Oryctolagus cuniculus: one gene and its partners. The main gene of each other region encodes a partner of the protein of the gene in region 3 in a complex. Links are inferred from orthologs where the notes say so. Each region holds a gene or a part of one and is shown on either strand. Other genes may lie near its edges. The genes, in order: GAS8, DRC12 and IQCG.

The links.
Region 1: IQCG (region 3) and GAS8 share a complex: the UniProt entries of both Homo sapiens proteins name them as parts of the nexin-dynein regulatory complex. The link is inferred for Oryctolagus cuniculus from reciprocal best matches to the Homo sapiens genes DRC9 and DRC4.
Region 2: IQCG (region 3) and DRC12 share a complex: the UniProt entries of both Homo sapiens proteins name them as parts of the nexin-dynein regulatory complex. The link is inferred for Oryctolagus cuniculus from reciprocal best matches to the Homo sapiens genes DRC9 and DRC12.

The regions. Positions count from the first base shown.
Region 1 is NC_091449.1:69,571,249-69,578,766, forward strand, and holds part of GAS8 (dynein regulatory complex subunit 4), read left to right. Parts: intron 1-2,597; coding exon 2,598-2,652; intron 2,653-3,642; coding exon 3,643-3,848; intron 3,849-4,299; coding exon 4,300-4,467; intron 4,468-4,812; coding exon 4,813-4,899; intron 4,900-6,478; coding exon 6,479-6,688; intron 6,689-7,518. UniProt on the Homo sapiens protein: Component of the nexin-dynein regulatory complex (N-DRC), a key regulator of ciliary/flagellar motility which maintains the alignment and integrity of the distal axoneme and regulates microtubule sliding in motile axonemes.
Region 2 is NC_091432.1:111,114,488-111,122,571, reverse strand, and holds the end of DRC12 (dynein regulatory complex protein 12), read right to left. Parts: intron 7,056-8,084; 5' UTR 7,044-7,055; coding exon 6,974-7,043; intron 6,643-6,973; coding exon 6,577-6,642; intron 5,544-6,576; coding exon 5,424-5,543; intron 4,949-5,423; coding exon 4,856-4,948; intron 2,535-4,855; coding exon 2,404-2,534; intron 2,187-2,403; coding exon 2,058-2,186; 3' UTR 1,990-2,057; downstream 1-1,989. Other genes in the region: NHERF4 (Na(+)/H(+) exchange regulatory cofactor NHE-RF4), read left to right, coding at 1-93, 178-405, 873-1,073, 1,353-1,538. UniProt on the Homo sapiens protein: Component of the nexin-dynein regulatory complex (N-DRC), a key regulator of ciliary/flagellar motility which maintains the alignment and integrity of the distal axoneme and regulates microtubule sliding in motile axonemes.
Region 3 is NC_091435.1:82,161,156-82,167,340, reverse strand, and holds the end of IQCG (dynein regulatory complex protein 9), read right to left. Parts: intron 4,837-6,185; coding exon 4,735-4,836; intron 2,447-4,734; coding exon 2,312-2,446; 3' UTR 397-2,311; downstream 1-396. UniProt on the Homo sapiens protein: Component of the nexin-dynein regulatory complex (N-DRC), a key regulator of ciliary/flagellar motility which maintains the alignment and integrity of the distal axoneme and regulates microtubule sliding in motile axonemes.

The DNA of each region.
Region 1 (7,518 bases), on a different chromosome or scaffold from region 3:
AGTGGAGCAGACGAAGTCAAGCCATCATTGGAGTTGCCAGCGTTGGAAGCAGCGGCTTGACCCACGTTGACTTTTGCACAGTCAAGTTTTTTTTTTTTAATTTTTTTTTATTTTTTTTTTATTTTTTTTATTTTTGACAGGCAGAGTGGACAGTGAGAGAGAGAGACAGAGAGAGAAAGGTCTTCCTTTGCCGTTGGTTCACCCTCCAATGGCCGCTGCTGCAGCCGGCGCACCGCGCTGATCCGATGGCAGGAGCCAGGAGCCAGGTGCTTTTCCTGGTCTCCCATGGGGTGCAGGGCCCAAGCACCTGGGCCATCCTCCACTGCACTCCCTGGCCATAGCAGAGAACTGGCCTGGAAGAGGGGCAACCGGGACAGAATCCGGCGCCCCGACCGGGACTAGAACCCGGTGTGCCGGCGCCGCAAGGTGGAGGATTAGCCTATTGAGCCACGGCGCCGGCCTTGCACAGTCAAGTTTTGAGTGAGTCTGGGGCTGAGCCATTCTGAGGGGTGCTGGAAGTTTCTAGGTAGCGACTGAGACACGTTGGCTGAGTGCACTTGGGTACCAGGCCCTCAAGAGGCCTATTCTAGGGGGCTGGTGATCTAGAAAGGAGACGAGACAGTGCACAACATAGTATATAGAATTTGAGTGACAGACACTCACAGGTATGGCTCAGCTTAAGGGGGGGTCCCTGTTGGAGGAGCAACGTGGTGCAAGAGTGGGGAGCAGGAGTGAAGGGAGGCAGCCGTTTCCTCCGAGGGCTCTGGGAAGCACTCCCGGAGGGGGCAGCGTCTGGCAGAGGCCAGAAGGAAGGAGGTGACAGCCCCAGAGAGGGGCTGGGCCCATGGGAGGGCCCAGAGGCCAGAGGAGCGAGGAGTGAGAGGGCTGAAGGGAAGCCGCAGGGCTCGTGGGCCTGAAAAGCCACAGTGAGTTGGCTGTCAGTAGCGTTTTGAGAATTTGGGCAGAGAGGAGCTGCCTTTGACTTCAGTTTTCAAGGTTGCTCCTGGCTGCTGGATTGGGCAGAGTTTCTTCACACGTTTGTCTCATGTCTGGAAGTAGCCCAGCCTTGACAGAAGCTGGAGGGAACTTCAGTGGCAGCGAAGACTGCATTGTGGGCCGCTGTAGCTCCGACTCTGGTTTTGGGTGAGCTGAGTGATGTGAGGCTGTCGGCATAGCCTGAGTCCTAGATAGGAGGCTGTTACATAATCAGGGCTCTCCTTTCTAGAGCAGTGAAAAGATTGCTCTAAAAATAAATTTTTATTCAAAAACTTGCAGTAATTGCTTATCATGGTACGTGTTGAGTGCTGCTCTAAGCACCAGTGAGGCAGAGTAGCAGGAGCTGGTGAGGGACCTGGAGAGCCCACAGTCGTGCGTAGACAAGGCACTGCTTCTCAGCGTGTGAGAGATGGAACTGTGCTCAGTGCCTTGTCTGCCGCTGCTCTCTCAAGCTTGGTAGGAGGTGACCCAGCCGGCTGAAGGAAGTGCCTTAAGAGATACGGGGGTTGGATTGGGGTCGGTACTGTGACGTAGTGGGTAAAGCTGCTGATTGCAGTGCTGGCTTTCCATATGGGCGCTGGTTTGAGTCCTGGCTGCTCCTCTTCCGATCCAGCTCCCTGCTATGGCCTGGGAAAGCAGTAGAAGATGGCCCAACTCCTTGGGTCCCTGCACCCATGTGGGAGGTCCAGAAGAAGCTCCTGGCTCCTGGCTTTGGATCGGTGCAGTTCCCGCCGTTGTACCATCTGGGGAGTGAACCATTGGATGAAAGACCTCTCTGTCTCTCTCTGTCTCTCTCTCTGCCTCGGCCTCTCTGTAACTCTGCCTTTCAAATAAATAAATCTTTAAAAATAAAAAAAGGTGTGGAGGTTGGGGCAGGTACTTGCCATAGGGGTTAAGCTGCTGCATAGGGCACCGGCAGCTTGTAGCATACCCGAGTGCCTGGTTTGAGGCACAGTCCTCTGCTTCCCATCCAGCTTCCTACTCTGGTGCATCCTGGGAGGCTTAAGAAGTTGGGTCCCTGCCGCCCATGTGGGTGACCTGGATTGAGTTCTTGTGTCCTGGTTTTCACCTGGTCCAGCCCTAGCTGCTGCAGGCATTTTAGGGAGTGAATAAGTGGACATATGGACAGTTTCTCTCTGTCTGCTTTTCCAGCAAAAAAGGTACCATCTTAAGAAAAACAGGAAGAAATGTGTCCCATGTCAGAGTGCCTGGATTTGACATCTGACCTGCCCCTGGCTACACACTCCACTGTTTGCTAATGTAGACCCCAGAGGCAGTGGTGGTGGGCTAAGTCATTGGGTCCCTCACACCCACATGGGAGACCACTGGCTTCTGGCTTGGGCCTGGCCCAGCTCTGGCTGTTAATGGGCACTTGTGGAGTGACCATTCCAGCAGATAGAAGCTCTCTATTCTGTCTCTGTCTCTCTGACTCTTAAATACAGAAGAGGGGAACCAGAAAGCATGGAGGTGACCAAACCATGTTAGCCAGCAGCAGCGCAGGATTTTCTGAGCTGGATGTCTCCTGGAGGGTGGGAGTGTGGTCACTGCAAAGGAGGGGCGCTTCCTCTGGTCCTGCTAATAACTGACGTTCTCCTCTGCAGAAACACACCGAGGAGATCACTAAGATGCGGAACGACTTTGAGAGGCAAGTTCGAGGTCAGTCTCTCCCATTCACACTGTGCAGCCTGGGGCCAGACCCCGCCGACAAGAAGCAGCCACGTCCAGAGCTTGCTCAGTCAGGGTACATAAAGTGGATCAGAGCAGCCCAGGAATGCAGAGAGCTCACTTCCACGAACGCTTGGGACGCTGCGCTCCCTCACTTACCTGCTCCTGGCTGGGGTCAGCGGCTGCCAGCAGGCATTTGTTTTTTTTTATTTATTTTATTTTATTATTTTTATTATTATTATTTTATTGACAGGCAGAGTGGACAGTGAGAGAGAGATACAGAGAGAAAGGTCTTCCTTTTCATTGGTTCACCCTCCAATGGTCGCTGTGGCTGGTGCACTACGGCCGGCGCACCGCGCTGATCCGAAGGCAGGAGCCAGGTGCTTCTCCTGGTCTCCCATGGGGTGCAGGGCCCAAGCACCTGGGCCATCCTCCACTGCACTCCCGGGCCATAGCAGAGAGCTGGCCTGGAAGAGGGGCAACTGGGACAGAATCCAGCGCCCCGACCGGGACTAGAAACCGGTATGCCGGCGCTGCAGGCGGAGGATTAGCCTATTGAGCTATGGCGGTGCCAGCAACCAGCAGGCGTTTGTTAGTCACTCTGGTGGCAACGTCGGAGGTTCATCTTCTCCAGGCCTCCTGGTCGTCCGGTTTCAGAAGTCGGCCTGGTTTCCAGTAAAGCCTTGTCATCTTTGGCTGCTCCAAGGCCATACGGGCCGTGGTTGGTGCCCGCCGGCACTGGCTGACGCTCAGCTGCTGGGAGCCCTGGCAGAGGAAGGCAGCGTATGCTGAATGTGTCCCCTGTGCGCCTCGGCAGGAACGATCCACCTGCACCGTCCTGCTCTCCTGTGGAGACCTTTATGCACCTTGGTCTTGGCCGTGGAAGGTGTTCTGGGGCCCTGTTCACAGACCCCATCTGTGTAACTGCAGGGGCACCTGTTCTTCCTCTTGTAAGCTTCTGTGTGCGCTGCTGCCTTTCAGAAATTGAGTCCAAGTACGATAAGAAGATGAAGATGCTTCGGGATGAACTTGACCTGCGGAGGAAGACTGAGATCCACGAGGTGGAGGAGAGGAAGAACAGCCAGATCAACACACTGATGCAGCGCCACGAAGAGGCCTTCACCGACATCAAGAACTACTACAACGACATCACCCTCAACAACCTGGCCCTCATCAACTCCCTTAAGGTGCTGGGAGACACAGTGTGCCTGTCTTAAAGCCCACTGGAGGATGCCCCTCTGCCGTCCGTCCTTTGAATTCACAAACGTGCCTAACTGAAGCCAGTCAGAGCATCTGCCTGGCTGCACTGTAGAGGGAAGAAGTGGTATGGGAAGGCTCAGGCACACCCGTGGCCGGCATACGGCTGCGGTGCACTGGACTGGATGGCACGGAGTCACTCAGACGCTGGCAGTGGTAAGGTTTCCACAGCAAGCCAGCTTTGATGGAATCCCAAAGTGTCATCTCTCTGCCTGGACGCTGCATTCCTAGAAAATTCAGAATCAGTTAAAACTGTGTGTAAATACTCTGTTTATACACGTACCTGTTGGTGAGACTGAGGACAGCTGGCCTTGCCCTGCAGGCCGTAGCCCCTCGTTTCTGCCCAGCTAGCACCTCCCGTACCTCTGCTTGTGCTGACAGGAGCAAATGGAGGACATGCGGAAGAAAGAAGAACACCTGGAGAGGGAGATGGCGGAGGTGTCCATGCAGAACAAGCGCCTGGCCGACCCGCTGCAGAAGGCGCGGGACGAGATGCACGAGATGCAGAAGCAGCTTGGGAACTACGAGCGGGACAAGCAGATCCTGGTTGTGAGTGTCCTGCCCACTTCTCTCCTTCCTGGGCTCAGGAGGGAGCGAGCGGCGGGGAGACGGCTGAGACGCCTGAGTGGCCTTTGCCCTTAAGTCAGGAATGGAGGGCTGGGGGCTGCAGTCTCCTGTGTGTGGCTGGTGCCGGCCTGGGGATGTGAAGTTGGCGGGTGTCCTGGGAGATGGCCCTAATCTTTGATCGTGTCCCACCAGCTGGCCGTGGTGGGAGGCAGCTGCTTGCATCTTCACACCGGTGGTTTCACTCGGTTCTCTGCGCCCTGCCTGTGTGTGAGGGATGCCTGTGAGTCCTGAGTGATTTCTAGGTCCCGTTGCCTGTTGTCTCTCCAGTGCACAAAAGCGCGTTTGAAAGTCACTGAGAAGGAGCTGAAAGACCTGCAGTGGGAGCACGAAGTGCTGGAGCAGCGGTTCCTGAAGGTGAGCGAGCACCGGGCTTGCCTTCAGTGTGGCCAAGACCCCTGCCAGCTGGTCAGGGCTGTCCTGGGGCCTCGACCCCTGTCACCCGCTCCAGGAGGTTTTGACAAGCGGCTAGTTTCTGGGTTTGAAAGCTGGAGTTCCTTTTTAAAAAAAGATTTATTTTATTTATTTGAAAGAGGTAGAGAGAGAGGTAGAGACAGAGAAAGAGGTCTTCCATCTGCTGGTTCACTCCCCAGATGGCTGCAATGGCTGGAGCTGCGCCGATCGAAGCCAGGAGCCAAGAGCCTCTTTTAGGTCTCCCACGTGGGTGCAGGGGCCCAAGGAGTTGGGCCATCTTCCACTGCTTTCCCAGGCCACAGCAGAGAGCTGGATCAGAAGAGGAGCAGCCAGGTCTAGAACCAGTGCCCATCTGGGATGCTGGCACTTCAGGCCTCTGCCACAGCGCCGGCCCTGAAAGCTGGCGTCCTTAATGCTGGCTCTGTACTTCACGCAGCTTGTAGGAGGCAGAACCTTGGGGCCTGTTCTGCAGAAGGTGGCCCGGTGGTGGTGGCTGCGCCCTCTCTGTCTCCTCAGAAGCCGGCCTCTCACACAGGTTGGGTAGCTTGGCCCCTCACGGCAGCCCTTTTCATCGCCCTGTGTCACGTTCCTGAGCACTAGCCTAACTGCACAACGTGGCACTGTCCATCGTGCAGGTGGAAAGGAGCCGACCTGCTGCCCAGTAGTGGCCCTCAAGGGGGAGGCAGTGTCGTGAGCCTCTTTCTAGACATGGTCTTCTTCCTGTGTGCTTTACTGTAGAAACTGGGATTGTGTTGTAACCAACACTTGCATTTTTTTTTAAAGGTTTGTTTATGTATTTGAAAGTCAGAATTACAGAGAGAGAGAAAGAGAGATATCTTCCATCCTTGGTTCACTGCCCAAATGGCTGCAGTGACCGGAGCTGTGCCAGACTGGAGCCAGGAGCTTTTGCCAGGGGCCCAAGCACTTGGGCCATCTTCTGCTGCTTTCCCAGACACATTAGCAGGAAGCTGGATGGAAGAGGAGCAGCCAGGACTCGAACCAGCACCCCTAAGGAATTCTGGCTTTGCAGGTGGCAGCTTAATCCGCTGCGCCACAGCACTGGCACTGCTTTTGACACTTGTGTGATGTCTTCATTCCTGTACAACACAGTCAGTAGCAGAGTTAGGAGAAGAGGAGAGTAGTTCTACCACTGGGCAGTGTGCTGGCTTCCAGACTGGCCATTGTGGGGTGCGTCGGCAGCAGTGGGATTCCAGGACCGCTCAAGGGGCCCCCCACCTCATAAATGCTTCCTGCTGGCAGTTAGATGCCTTGGATTTCACACACAGGTGGTCAGGGACAGGTGTCACTTGAGGTCAGAAGCAGTAGCTCAGGCTGTTGACCACTTGTGGATTGGCTTTTAGCTGGGGCTGCTCCAGCTCCCACCAGGATGCCCCTTTGCTGCCTGAGACCTTCCTGGGGGGCAGCATGTGCCCAGCAGGGGCAGGGGTGGGAAATGACCTCTCGCCAGGGACATGTCTGCAGGTAAGCGTCCTCGATGCTTACCCCAGTCCCGTCTCTGCAGGTACAACAGGAGCGCGATGAGCTCTACCAGAAGTTCACGGCCGCCATCCAGGAGGTGCAGCAGAAGACGGGCTTCAAGAACCTGCTGCTGGAACGCAAGCTGCAGGCCCTGAATGCCGCTGTGGAGAAGAGGGAGGTGCAGTTCAACGAGGTGCTGGCCGCCTCCAACCTGGACCCTGCCACCCTGACGCTTGTGTCCCGCAAACTTGAGGTAGGCCTTGGGCAGGCTTCTGAGGCGGTGCGGGCCAGGCTGGCCAAGCGGTGGGACTGCTCACTGCTGCCCCGTGCCTGTGTGGGCGGGCAGAGACCTCTCAGGTGACCGCAGGGGAGCTGCTGGTGGTGGCCTCTCAGGCTGTCGTTGCCAGCTTGTGGACACGTCAGTGGGGCTGCAGGCTGTCAGTCTCCCCCAGCCCCTCCTTCCTTCATGGTGCCTGAGACTCAGCCCCTCCCACTGCAGCCACCCAGACTGGCTCACGTCAGGTTCTTGTTACCTGAGCACAGCATGAGGACGGGTTCTCTGCGGGCCTGAGCTCTTCAGCGACAGACCCAGACACAGGCCTGGGGAGCAGCTGCGTCCCTGGGCTCTCCACCTAGGAAAATCACAGCCCCGGGGGCCCCCAGGAGAGGGTGGGTGGGGAGAGCCTTAGGTTGGTGGAGCAGGGGTAGTGAGGTCTCAGCAGACCCAGAACATTCACTCATTTGTGTCCATTGTTGCCTGCGGTGTTGCTCTCCTGGCCCTGGCATGGTGGGGGCAGCCTTGGCCCCCAGCAGACAGCTCGGGGATAGAAGAATCTGAAGCCTCAGACAGCCTCGTAGCTCAGCTTCTGCTGGTTGTCCAGCTTCCACAGCTAGGCCTGCGTCCATCCCCAGTAGCAGCAGGTGCAGCTCCCGCAGGGGCCCTTGGAGACAGACACAGGTCCTCAGCCTCTGGCTCAGCTGCTGCTCCCAAATTGGGCACAGCTGATCTCAAAGCCTGCAGCCTGCCCATCGAGGGGAGTCCCTTGTCCCTGAGATGGACCCTTGTGGGGCCAGTGGACTCCT
Region 2 (8,084 bases), on a different chromosome or scaffold from region 3:
GGCCACGAGGAGACAGTGTCCAGGATCCGGGCACAGGGCGCTTGTGTCTCTCTCGTCGTCGTCGACCCTGAGGCTGACCGCTTCTTCAGAATGGTGCGTGCTGAGGGCCAGGGCTAGGGAGGGGGAAGCCAGGAGCGAGGCGCAGGTGCCACAGGTGCGCTCGCTCTGGCCCTCCAGGTGCGCCTCTCCCCACTCCTCTTCTTGGAGCACACAGAGGCCATCACCGCCACCCAGGACACCCACGTGGCTGCTCTGGTTGAGTCCGAGGATGCGTGCCTTGAAGATGCCGCCGAGCCTCCACTCCCTCCTGGCTCCTGCCGGTGCCTCCTGTACCCTGGGCCTGGCGGTGGCTATGGCTTCCGACTCAGTTTTGTGGCCAGTGGGCCTTTTCTCTTTATCTCCCAGGTGACTGATGCCCCCTGGAGCTTGGGTCCTTTGCAGCATTTTTTAAAAAAGATTTATTTATTTATCTGAAAGGCAGAGGTACAGAGAAGGAGAAGCAGAGAGAGAGAGAGAGAGAGAATCTTCCACCTGCTGATTTACTCTCCAAAGGCCACAATGGCCAGGGCTGGGTCAGTCTGAAGCCAGGAGCCAGAAACTTCTTCCAGGTCTCTCACATGGGTGCAGGGCCCCAAGGACTTGGGCCATCTTCCGCTGCTTTCCCAGGTGTATTAGCAGGGAGCTGAATTGGAAGTGGAGCAACCAGGACTCAAACCAGTGCCCATGTGTGATGCCATTGCTGTAGACGGCATAGCACAGCCCCCTTCCCAGCATTTCCTCCTGATCAGTGCCCATCTCCCTCCCTCCTAGAGCCATAGAGCACTGGCACCCGGCAGACTCCCCCATGGCCTTTCCTTGTTCTGTGCCGTCAGGTGACTCCAGGAAGCTCCGCTGCCCGCGCAGGGCTGCAAAGGGGAGACATGGTTCTGGAGGTGAACGGGGTCTCCGTGGGTGGAGATGGCACCCCGCAAAGGCTTCAGCAGCTGGCGGAGGCGGAGCCACCCCTCTGCCTGAAGCTGGCGGCCAGGTCTCAGTGGGGCTCGGAGGCCTGGACTCCCCCCGGGTCTGGAGAGGTGAGCAAGAAGAGACAGGTGGGACTGCGAGCGCCAGCGAAGGCCAGAGTGGGACGGCTGCAGGGTGGGACTTCAAGTCACGGGGTCGGGGGGCAGAGAATCCACGGAACAATGCCACTCCTGCACATTCGGGGGCAGTGGGGGCAGGGCGAAGGGACACTCAGGGTCCAGGGACAACCTTCTGCCATTGTCTCTGAGCAGGACTGGGCTCTCCCCTCGGATGTGCTGTAGAGCGCCTCAGCTTGGCGAGATCTCCCAGGGCCTCTCGTGTCTTCACAGCCAGCCCGAGGTGGTGGCAAGGATGCTGTCACTCAGCCGGAAGCTGGGGCTGGAGGACTCGGACACCGCCCACCGCAGCACTGCCCGGGAGCCCCCTCCCTTGCCATGGCCCAGCTGTCAGCAGAAGGGCTGGGGCAGAGGCCTCGGGGGCCTCAGGTGCCGGGGGATGTCCCTCGGTGGCTGTAGATGGCTGCACCCCGAGGACTAAGTTCTGCCTGAGAAGGGGGTGCTGTGGGGCTGGCTGGGCTGGAAGCCCTCTGGGACTTGACCTAGGTGCCACTCTGGGACTCTCTGGGTCCAAGAATTGGGAGACCCAGCAACCCCCTCCCTGAGTGGGCACCTTCGGGCTGGGGGGGCTGGCCCCTGGACGCTGTGTGTCTGTTATTTAAATGGCCTTTCCCCATAAATCGGACTGCCTGTGTTTTTGTTGGTGGAGATATGGGGCAGTGGTTTAAAGGGAGCTGGAGGTCCCAGGCTCGGGGGCTGGGCTCCAGTTTCTGTAGGAGAAGGGGTGGGACTTTGCCGGTTTTCTCTCTCATCACTCAGCCTTGTGGATCAAGGGACGGGATGCTCAGAACAGAGGTGTCCCCACGGAAGCCACTCCTTTATGACAAAAGGCCACAGCCCACGGTTCAGCTGAGTTCTCCTTCAGGATATTTTATTTCTGGGGTCTCAGAGGGTCCCAGAGCCCAGAGGCTGGCAGCTTCAAAGATCCAGGGGGTTGAGTCCAAGCTGGCGCAGCTGCTCCTTGTGTCTGGCGTGGAGTCGCAGTGCGGCCTCGTCCCACTGGGGCTGGGTGGCCCTCAGCTTGGCCAGGAGCCGGTCCAGGCTGCCCTGCGGATACCAAGCTCCCAGTCCCCAGGAAGAGAGGGCGGCTGCCTTGTGAGCTCTCCCTGCCAGCATTCTTCCTGGTCTAAGGGAGTGGGCACCGTGGAACTCCCTCTGCCTGTGCTAGGGACAGAGCAGGGGTCCCTTGGAGTCCCTTTCTTCTCTTCCCCCCGGGTTGTCAGTCATCACCCTGTGGGGCTCGTGGAGGTGGCGGGGTGCTCACGTGTAAGATGTCCTCGTACTTGGCTTCCATGCTGGCCACGTGGGCCCGAAGCTGAGCCAAGGTGTGGTCCCGCTCTCCGAGGGCCCTCGCTGCCTCCCCCTGTGCAGCCACAGCCTCCCTCTGGCAAGTCTCTGGGGAGCAGAGCAGAGGATGGGAGAGGACAGGACGGTGAATTTGGTGCTTGCACAGTCTCCAAAGGCACCTGAAAAGGAGGCTCTGAGTGTGTTCATTTCAGACTCCGCCCAGGTCAGCGACCTCCTCATAGTCCCTGCAAAGAGCTGAAGGTCCATTGAGGTTTATGAGTAGTGAGCTTGGAGAGGAGCTGGGGGCTAAGTCTGGTTGTCACTGTTCGTGTAAGCTCACGCATGTCTCCCTAAACCCCAGTTTCTTCTTTATTTGAGAGGCATCTGTGGGCACTTGCACACACACACACACACACACACACACACACACACACACACACACCATGGCTCCTCTCTGCTGGTTCACTCCCCAAATGCTTGCAACTGAAGTCAGGAACTTAATCCATGTGTCTGACGTGAGTGGCAGGAATCCAACTACTTGAGCCATCAGCTGCTGCCTCCTGGGGTGCACAGTAGCAGGAGTGGAGCTGTGACTCAAACCTTGGAGCTTCAAAATGACATGTGGGCCACCCAGTCAGCATCTTAATTGCTACACCAAACACCTACCCCAGTTTCTTCATCTTAAAGGGCAAATGAGGGGCCAGAGTTGTGGTGTGGTGGGTTAAGCCACCACTGTGACACTGGCGTCCCACACCAGGGTGCCAGTTTGAGTCCCAGCTGTCCCACTTCTGATCCAGCTCCCCGCTAACGCACCTGGGAAGGCAGAAGAAGATGGCCCAGGTGCTTGGGCCCTTGGAAAACTTGGATGGAGTTCCTGGCTCCTGGCTTCAGCCAGTCCCAGTCCTGGCTGTTGTAGCCATTTGGGAAGTGAACCAGTGGATGGAAGAACTCTCCTTTCTGTCTTTCAAATAAATAATTTTTTATATTGAGAGAGAGAGAGAAGGAAGAGAAGAGAGAGAAGAGAAGAGAAGAGAAGAGAAGAGAAGAGAAGAGAAGAGAAGAGAAGAGAGAAAGAGAAAGAGAGAAAGAGAAAGAGAAAGAGAGAAAGAGAAAGAGAAAGAGAAAGAGGTCTTCCATCCTCTGGTTCACTTCCCCAATGGCTGCAACAGCCAGGACTGGGCCAAGAAGCAAGAGGGAAGAGAAGCAAAGGCTTCCTGGCTTTTATATTTTTGCTTATATAGAGAGTTTATCCACTTATTTAGGAAAAAGGATCTACCAGGTGGTAGGCCTTAGAGATATAGAAGTTAAGAAGCCTAACATTTTCCCTTAGTTTCATTGTAAAAATTAGCTAACCTGAGAAGGGAGATGAAGAATATTTCAGAAAGTTAGAAGGAAATATGACTGGAAATAATGGCCAGCATTATGGTGCTGTGGATTAAGGCACCACTTGTAATACCCACATCCCACATGGGAGCATTGGCTCAAGTCCTGGTTCTTCCACCTTTGGTCCAACTTCCTGCTAATGTGTCTGGGAAGGTTTTGGAAGATGGCCCGTGTACTTGGGCCCCTGCCACCCATGTGGGAGACCAGATGAAATTCTAGGCTCCTGGTTTTGGCCTGGCCCAGCACAGGCCATTGCAGCCATTTGGGGAGTGAACCAGCAGATGGAAGATCTCTGTGTCTCTGTTTCTCTTTCTCTCTCTGTAACTCTGCCTTTCAAATAAATAAATAAATCTTTTAAAAAATGCATAGATTTTCAATGTTTCTTGCACCTAAGCTTATCCTGTAATTCCATTTTTCCATGAGTATTTTGATGTGCTCTGATATGCCCTGGAGAGACGTGGCAGTGGCAGGGAGTGAGGTGACAGCTGGGTCTGGAGATTCCAGGCAAGGGGGGATAGGGCGAGGTGTGCCTCTTCCTTACTTTGCCCTAAAGGGTCTTTTTTTATTTTTATTTTTATTTTTATTGTTATTTTTTGACAGGCAGAGTTAGACAGTGACAGAGAGAGAGAGACAGAGAGAAAGGTCTTCCTCCCGTTGGTTCACCCCCGAAAAGGCTGCTACGGCCTGTGCGCTGCGCGGATCCGAAGCCAGGAGCAGGGTACTTCCTCCTGGTCTCCCATGTGGGTGCATGGCCCAAGGACCTGGGCCATCTTCCACTGCCTTCCTGGGCCGCAGCAGGGAGCTGGACTGGAAAAGGTGCAACCGGGACTAGAACCCGGGGTGCCAGCGCCCCAGGCGGAGGATTAGCCTAGTGAGCTGCATGCTGTCCTCACCTCTGCCTGATCCTCACTGCGGGAGCCAAGGTTGGGGGAGGGGAAGACGATGGCAGCCTTCTAGGAGAAGACCTAAGTTTGCCCCCGCACTGAACCTGGATCTTGTCAGCCTCCCTTGGAGAGGAAAGGCCCAGGGCAGGGCGGGGCACCTACCCAGCTGCTTGCGGAGACCCCTCACTTCCTCCTCCAGCTGCTTGCTGCGTCTCTCCATCTGCTCCTGCAGGGCCCTGCACCGGCGACTCATCTCTGGAGGGAGGACGGTGGACGGCCAGGGATGGAGGAGGGATGGAGAAAGGCAAGGAGTTGGGGGCGGGAAGGAACTGTGTGGTCCAGGAGACAGGAGCCCAAGGAACTGCTCAGTTCCTGTGATCCTGGGATGCTGGGAGACCCTGGACACCTGGGGAAAGGGAAGGACACCAGGCCGCCTCCCCACTCCGGCTTAGGATCAGGGCCCCAGCCCATCTGCCCGCTCACTGCTGCTGAGTGAATGAAACAGTGGCTGGGACTGCGTCCTGTGTCCCCCAGTGCAGCTGGCACTGACACTGGCCCCAGGCACCCTGGAAGGTCCCTGCCTGCGAGCCCAGAGGCCTCCTTGCATCCACCAGGAGTTGCCTGCTTTGTGCTACGCAGGGAAGGCTGAGACCGGGCCCGGCAGTCAGAAGCCCCTCTTATCTTCTCCCAGGCCCTTGTGTCCTGCCCAGCTGCTGAACCGACCACGCACCTGCATATACGGCCTTCCCCTCGCTGCGGGCCTCTTCCAGTTCAGCCTCCAACTCTTGCAACCTCTGCTTCAGCCTTTCTTCAGAAGCCTTGGCTCGACGGGCCCCTTCCCCCTGTAGAGCTGCGAGCGGTCCCGGAGCCCTGCTCAGAGCCTGCTGAGGGCCGCTGAATCAGCCCCAGAGGGCTGGATGGCCTTTCCTGTCTCTAGAAATCCGGTGGTAGCTGGAACAGGTGCTGTGGTATAGTGAGTAAAGCCACTGCCTGCAGTGCTGGCATCCCATATGGGCACCAGTCAGGTCCTGGCTGCTCCACTTCTGATCCAGCTCTCTGCTATGTCCTGGGAAAGCAGTGGAAGATGGCCCAATGCCTTGGGCCCCTGCACCTGCCTGGGAGGCCTGGAAGGAGCTCCTGGCTCCTGGCTTCGGATCAGTGCAGCTCCAGCCATTGTAGCCAACTGGGGGAGTGAACCAGTGGATGGAAGACCTCTCTCTCTCTCTCTCTCTCTCTCTCTCTCTCTCCTTCTCTCTCTATGTAACTCTGACTTTCAAATAAATAAATAAATCTTAAAAATAAAAGACACCTGGGGGCAGGGCACCCCACCTCTTATTCTTTCTCTTTCTCTTTCTGTTTTTTTTTTTCTTTTTAAGTATTTATTTTATTTATTTGAAAGGCACTGTGGCAGAGAGAGAGAGACAGAGACAGAGAGAGAAAGATTGTCCATCCACTGATTCACTCCCCAAATGGCTGCTATGGCTGGGGCTGGGCCCCAGTACTTGCACCATTACCGGCTGCTTTCCCAGAAACATTAGCAGGAGTTGGACTGGCAGTGGAGCAGCCAGTGGGATGCTGGTGTCGCAGGTGGTGACTGAACCCATGTCACCACAATGCCCGCCCCTTTCTGTCTCTCCAGGTTGTTGGGTCATTTTATTTTCCTAGGATCTCATGAGCTTTTCATTGCTAAGGAGTAAAACCTCCCTCCATGTTCTGGCTGTAAATAATAGCGTCCCTCATCAGCCTTCCCTGTCCTGTTCCACTAGGGGATGGTTAGGGTTTGGCGTAGCTTCCACCGTGGCTCCAAACGTCCAGTCCCGCCAGGACACAGCAGCGCCCCCACTGCTCTGCTTCTGTGGTCCCAGATAGCTCACCCTTCTTACCCAGCCGGTCTCGGAGCAGCTCCGTCTCCAGCACCAGCTGTCTGTGCTTGGACTCGGCCTCCACATCTGTCCTGGCAAATGACAGAGCCTTAGCTTACATGACCCCCGCCCCCGGCCCTGGACTCCGTCCTGAGCCAGCTCTGAGGGCTCCCTGCGGGCAGAGTCCATTCAGCATGCACCGTGTGCTCCCTGCCCAGCACAGATGAGGCATTCAACATATGGGTGACCAGTGGGGAGGCACAGAGCTGGGCGGTCTCGAGGGAGGGCGTGGGTGACCATTCCCCCATTCCTCAGCTCCGTGGAATCTGGACAGCGAGGACTGTGCTGCGGGCCTCTGCTTGGTCTCTGTTTCAGAACCCAGAGAAACGGGCACCCACCCCCACCCACGACGACTCACCCGGCCCTGGGTTCTTTTTCTTCTTCTGCACGCCGGCTTTCCTGCCTTTCTGTTTGGTCTTGGGTGGCATTTCCTTGCTGTCCTGATGGAGGGAGGGGACCTTGCTTTCAAATCTGGACAAGGGGATCCTGAACCAGGAGTCTTGGGAGGGTCAGAAGTCTGCTTTCCAAGTCTGCCCCTTTCTCTTGTTTTAAAGACACAAGTCTTTCTTTTTTAAAGATTTATTTATTTCAAAAAAATATTTATTTAGTTGAAAGCCAGAGTTGGGGCAGGGGGTGGAAGGAGAGATCTTCCATCTGCTGATTTAGTCCCTAAATGGCCCCAGTGGCCAGGGTTGGGCCAGGCAGAAGTAAGGAGTCTGGACCCCTGATCTCCCACGTGGGTGCCGGGGCCCCAGGACTTGCCCATTCTCTGCCGCCTTCCAGGCACATTAACAGGGAACTGGATCAGAAGTGGAGCAGCCAGGACTTGAACTGGCACTCGAATGGTACTTTAGAAAGTTCGTGGGATACAGACTGGGCATTCGGTCTAGTGGTCAAGACGTCCACAGTCCATATCAGAGTGCCTGCTGCACTCCTGGCTGCAGCGCCTGACTTCTGCTTCCTGCTGCAGAGACTCGGGGAGGTAGCAGGGTGATTCAAGCAGGTGGATTCTTGCCACCCCCTTGGGAGAACTGGACTGAGTTCCCAGCTCCCAGCTTTGGCCAGGTCCAGTCCCAGCCATTAGGGGAATTGGGGGAGTGAACCAGCAGATGGGGCCTCTGTCTGTCTTTCTGTCGGTCTCTCTCTGACTCTCAACATAGTTACAATTAAGGGAGAAATGAGAACAACAACAACAACAAAAGAACAAAAAAGTTAATAGAAAATACAGTTAAATCCATTCACAGTTTCTTTCTTTTTTTTTCTTTTTTCTTTTCTTTTTTTTTTTTTCTTTTTTTGACAGGCAGAGTGGGCAGTGAGAGAGAGAGACAGAGAGAAAGGTCTTCCTTTGCCGTTGGTTCACCCCCCAATGGTTGTTGCAGCCTGCGCGCTGATCCGAAGCCAGGAGCCAGGTACTTATCCTGGTCTCCCATGGGGTGCAGGGCCCAAGCACTTGGGCCATCCTCCACTGC
Region 3 (6,185 bases):
TTTAAACTGTAGGTGTTTTTCCTTCTAGTCAACATTAAACCTCAGTACAATCTCCAAATTACAGAGCACCACCAGAAATGAAAGTCTACAAAGGACTGGCCTGTTTTTAACATTATGCAAGGAATAATTCCAGAAGACATTACATAATGCAGCATTGGCAACAAATGTTTCCATTGGAATAAGTGGAAATTTAAGTTGATTTCAAATTTTGCACATAACATGAAACCTTAATATTATTTTTATTGAACTAATTCACATTTGCATTTGAACTGTTGGAAACATTTGTGTAGAGTTTTGGTAATGAAAAGTAGCAAATATATTGAGTTTGTTTCAGGAAACAAAAATCATTTTTGTTTTTTTTTTTAAGACATTTTGTATTCAGTGTTTTGTGTGTAGTTCTTTTTTTTTTTTTTTTTTTTTTTTTTTTTAACTGGAAAGAACAACTCAGTTTAACATTTAGTCTTGCTGGGCTCCAATGAAAGATGAAGATGTCCTTGTCACAGTGCCCCTGACCTGCAGCAGTGACCTTGACCTTGCCAGCCCTGACCCCGAAAAGGCTGAGTGCCCACCCAGAGGGGCCTGCCACCTACAGAGATGCTGGCAGCAGTTCCCCAGCTTCCTGGCGCATCTCTGAGAACCCTGCACACCAACCCTCTCTCCCAATGCCCACGTCTGGAAACAGCTCCTGGGAAGAGGGGCCTTTGTGCTTGGCTGGAACAGAGCAGAGAGGCCAAGCAGCTGTCATGCTCCCTGTCAGCTTCTGAAACCTAACCCAGGAGTCTGACCGCTCCTACTTTCCACAGCTCAGCGGTGACTAACGATGTGTGACTGTGCTGACACGGCTGAATTCATATAAACTAAGCTCTTAAATGGTTATAGAAGTGAAGGAACCCATGGATATTCAGAAGTCTTTTTATGTACACATTACAGTGAGATGGTTTACAGCAGGATTTCATCTTATGTCTGGATATGTTAAAAACGTGTAATTAGCAAGTTTTGTAAAACTGTCCTATATTTGTATGTCTGTAAATACATTGCATAATATGTTCTAAGTATAAATATGTCAGTATCATATATGTTATTTTAAATTGACTGTATGCTGCCTTACACATTGACATTAAAATAAAAGCCAACACTTAAGTAGCATGTAAATAAATGTTTGAACGTATTCATACATCAAGTATGGTTACTGCAGCTAAGATGAATTCTGGAGGGGTAGTGAATTCCCTGAAGGAACTGGTCTGTGAAACAGGCCTTTGAAATCAAAATGTACTTTATTAAGGGAGCAGATATCCAGACTACTCCGCATTTGGAGTTCATGAAACACAGATGACACATTAAGGGTAACTTTTCTCCCAGAAATACCCAGTTATGCCACCAGGACAGCTTTAGCATCCCAAGACATTCTATTTGGATTCATGAGAGCAAGAATGGCCTTATGGGCTCGAACAGTCAGCCAGGCACAGGTGCTTCTTTTCACATACCTTAATTATTAGCCTTCATGCCCCTTAGGTGGGAATTGTTGAGTAAGCGGAGCAGAGAGAGACCCTAACGTCTCACTTGTGCAAACTATCTCCAAACTAGCCTTCAAGAGAAGTGTTGCCATCTTTACTATTTGTAGGCCATATTTATGTCCTAACATCTCATTTCTATCTTGAATTCCTAATTTTTATCCTCACCTATTTCCCAGGAAATTCACATAAGCAGCCTATAATAGGATATGTATTCTATGCCACCTGCCCCCCAGTAAAAACACTAAAATGGTAATAAATCTAAGGCAAGCAAAAACCAATGTTTACTACTACTTTACTATGTGTATACTTTGTGAGACACTTTAAAAACGTTATCTTGTAATTCCTACTGAACACCTCAGTTTTGTTCATAAGAGTTGTTTCCCTGTATACACTTTGGATAAAGTCAGAATGAGACATTGTAGGAATTACCCAAGTGTGTGTTAGTGTATCACTATGACAAAGCCTATGAACTGTTTTTGTTTTTTTGTTTGTTTTGGTTTTTTTTTTTTTTTTTTTTTTTTTTTTTTTTTTTTTGTGAAAAGGCAGGAAGAACCTTCATAAGGCTACTGGATATACTTGCCGGCAGCATTCAGAATATAAGGACACCTGAAGTCAACAGTACACTCCTGATTCAGGGTTTGAAAACTAATGCAACAGGCAAAAAGAAACCACCAGCCTTCCCTTGCCGAGTCCAAGTTAACCTTGGATTAGTTACCTGTGGTGCAAAGAGATCATTCTCCCTCCAAGCACCCCTTCCCATCTCTGGAACACCAGGAGAAAGGACAGAAATGGCTCAGTCACTTCTTGCCTCTCCTCTTGTCCTTGTCTTTGCCTTTGCCTTTTGATTCTTTGCTATCATCTTTCTCCTTTTTGGGCAGTTTGAAGCCACCAATTTCCTTCCGTATCACAGTGCCGCGCCACCAGGCCTGAAGCTGAAAGACAGGACGTGTGAGTACCACCTCTGGTGGGCCTTCCACCTAAGGGGGTTTTTGAACCAGGTAACCTGTGTCAGAGAATGGTCTCTGCCTAGGACATGGAAGTGGCTAGGTACCCAGTCACCATGGCAATGCTTCCCTGCTGCACAGGACCCAGAGCTAAAGCCATGGACTTGAGTTAAGTTCTTGAGGACTAAGGATACAGGAAGGAATCTGTTTTGCCAAATAGTCCTTCCCACTTAGATACCTGACTTCCTTGTACGGCTGCTTCCTTTAATGGACACCCAGGTGCCCCATAACCAACAGTGTTTGGTGCTTGGGCAGGGGGAAAAGCAAGCACTCAATCAAAAATGTGCAGATGAGCCCAGATGACCTTGGGCTTCCTGGTACATCTCCTATCTGTAGTAACTGAGTAAAGGACCCATTTGCCTCTTACTCTCAAAAAGGATCTAGGGAGGCCGGTGCTGTGGCTCAACAGGCTAATCCTCCACCTGCAGCGCCAGCACACCAGGTTCTAGTCCCAGTCGAGGCGCCGGATTCTGTCCCGGTTGCCCCTGTTCCAGGCCAGCTCTCTGCTGTGGCCTGGGAGTGCAGTGGAGGATGGCCCAAGTGCTTGGGCTCTGCACCCGCATGGGAGACTAGGAGAAGCACCTGGCTCCTGGCTTCAATCAGTGCAGTGTGCCGGCTGCAGCGCGCCAGCCCCAGCGGCCATTGGAGGGTGAACCAACGGAAAAGGAAGACCTCTCTCTCACTGTCCACTCTGCCTATCAAAAAAATAAATAAAAAAATAAAAAAAAAAAGCTCTAGGGAGCTCCCTTGAATACCTCTGTTAGATGTAACTGTTCTGAATACACTGTAGTCCACTTTAAAATCAAATTAAGTGGGGCCAGTGCTGTGGCACAGAGGTTTAACATCCTGGCCTGAAGTGCCGGCATCCCATATTGGTGCTGGTTCAGGACCCGGCTGCTCCACTTCCCATCCAGCTCTCTGCTATGGCCTGGGACAGCAGTGGAAGATGGCCGAAGTCCGTGGGCCCCTGGACCCGCGTGGGAGACCCAAAAGAAGCTCCTGGCTCCTGGCTTCGGATCAGCACAGCTCCGGCCATTGCAGCCAATTGGGGAGTGAACCATCAGATGGAAGACCTCTCTCTCTGCCTCTCCTCTCTCTGTGTAACTCTGACTTTCAAATAAATAAATCTTAAAAAAAAAAAAATCAAATTAAGTCCTAGTGACTGGGAAGCAGATCCACCAGTGAAGAGAAATATAAGTGGCCTTCAGCTTCTTTACATTTTTGCTCTAAATAGAAGAATCCTGATGGATGGAAAACTCCATAGAAGCTTGATAAATACGTGCTAACTATATAGACCTGGCTCAAAGAAAGCTCGGGTTGGGTCTGCGTGCCTGGTCCCAGGTGTACTTGAAAGCTGCTTGCCCACCAGGGCTCAGCAGATGGCCCTCCTGCGGGGAGAAGGGCAGTCTGAGGACAGCATGTCAGTCCAGCTCACAGGACTTCTGCATCACCATTTTTGCCTGAAAGTATTTCCCAGGAACTGTGAGCTGCCACAGTTACTAATATACACAAGCTCACACATAACTAACTAGGGTCTTTAATCCCTAACCCGCTTCTATCAGAACCCAGCAGTCTGATTTGCAGACAAGACTTTAGGGAGCAGTACATTCAAAGGAATCATTCTGGCAAGAGCTGGTTTGGTTAGAAATCGCATTCCGGGGCTGGCACTGTGGCGCAGCGGGTTAAAGCCCTGTTCTGAAGCACTGGCATCCATATGGGCTCCAGTTTGAGACCAGCTGCTCCTTTTCTGATCCAGCTCTCTGCTATGGCCTGGGAAAGCAGTAGAAGATGGCCCAAGTCCTTGGGCCCCTGTACCCACACGGGAGACCCAGAAGAAGCTCCTGGCTCCTGGCTTCGGATTGGCGCAGCTCCGGCCGTTGCAGCCATCTGGGGAGTAAACCAGCGGATGGAAGACCTCTCTCTCTGTCTACCTCTCTCTGTAACTCTGTCTTTCAAATAAATAAAATAAATCTTAAAAAAAAAAAAAAGAAAGAAATCATATTCCACCTGTGGACCCGGGTGTTGCTTCTGCTGCTAACCACCTTTTTCTAATCAGTGCTGGAAGACTCCAGCACTAACCAACAGCCACACTTCCTCAGGGCCCTCCCATTCTGCGGTAAGCGGCTGAGAGTTTGGTATGAGAAAAGCTTTGTGTTCCGCACCTGAGGCCATCAGTGGCCCTGAGGGACCCTGAGAGGCCGAGGCTTGTTTCCTACCTTTATGATGCTCCTTAATTCCAGGTCATCCTGTTCTATCTTCTTCCTCGTCTTCTCCTTTTCTATACGATCCTCGATGATGACCTGTTCATACTCCCTTATCTGCAAAAACAGACATTAGTTATGTGTTAAACAATCGCCCAACCAGATCTATACTTTCAATTTAAGATAGGTAACAGAAAGTATTTTAAATATAAAGATAAATTAGGGGTGAGTGTTTGCCATAGAAGTCAAAATGCCACTTGGGATACCTGTTTCCTATCCTGGAGTGCCAGGGTTTAGGTCCCAGTTTCCTAGTGCACACCCTGGGAGGCAGCAGGTGGTGGTTCAAGTAACTGGGTCCCTGCCACCCACGGAGACCCAGATTTGAGTTCCCAGCTCCAGGCCTCAGCCTGGCCCATTCCTAACTTGCAGGTATCTGGGTAGTGAACCAGCAGATGGAAGATATCTGTCTCTTTGCTTTTCAAATAAGTTTTTTAAGTATAAAGAAAAAAAAACTTAGTGGATTCCTGAATTGCAAATGTTCACATGATAACTATAGTTGCCCCCCAGATTTTTTCAGCTCAATTAATTCAAACAAGTTGTAAATTTTCATAAAAATGAAAGAATAGGGGTGGCTATCTGGAACAGCGGTGAAGACGCCACTCTGTAGTACATCACATGCTGAACCAGAGTGCCTGCGTTTGAGTCCTGGCTCCACTGCCAGTTTCAGCGTTGCTGGTGGCAGCAAGTGATGGCTCAAGTACTTAGGTCCCTACCACCTACATGGGAGATCTGGATTGAGTTCTAGGCTCCTGGCTTTGGCCTGGCTGTGGAGGGCATTTGGGGAATGATCCAGCAGATGGAAGGTCATGTAACTTTATTTTCCTCTCTCTCCCTCCCCCTTTCAAATAAATAAAATTTTAAGATTTTACTTTAAAATTTTTAAATGATAATGTATATATTAACAACCTCAAAATAATGTGATGTTGGGCCGGCATTGTGCAGCAACAGATTAAGCCTCTGCTTGAGATGCCAGCATCCCATATGGGCACCAGTTAAGTCCCAGTTGCTCAACTTCCTGATCCAGCTCTCTGCTATTGTGCCTAGGAAGGCAGCAGAAGATGGCATAAGTACTTGGTCCCCTGCAACTCACAGGGGAGACCCAGATGGAGTTCCAGGCTCATGGTTTCAACCTGGTCCAGCCGTAGCCATTGCAGCCAATTGATAAGTGAACCAGCAGATGGAAGATCTCTGTCTCTCCCTCTCTCTATCTCTGCCTTTCAAATAAATGCATAATTATAATGTGATTATTTTTTAACAGAATTTTCATATGAGACTACTTCAAAAAGTTTGAGGGAAATGCACATTTATCTTTTTTTTTTTTTAATTATTTGAGAGGTAGACAGAGAAAGAAATCTCTCATTTCACTCTCCAAATGTTTGCAACAGCTGGGGCTGGGCCAGGCTAAA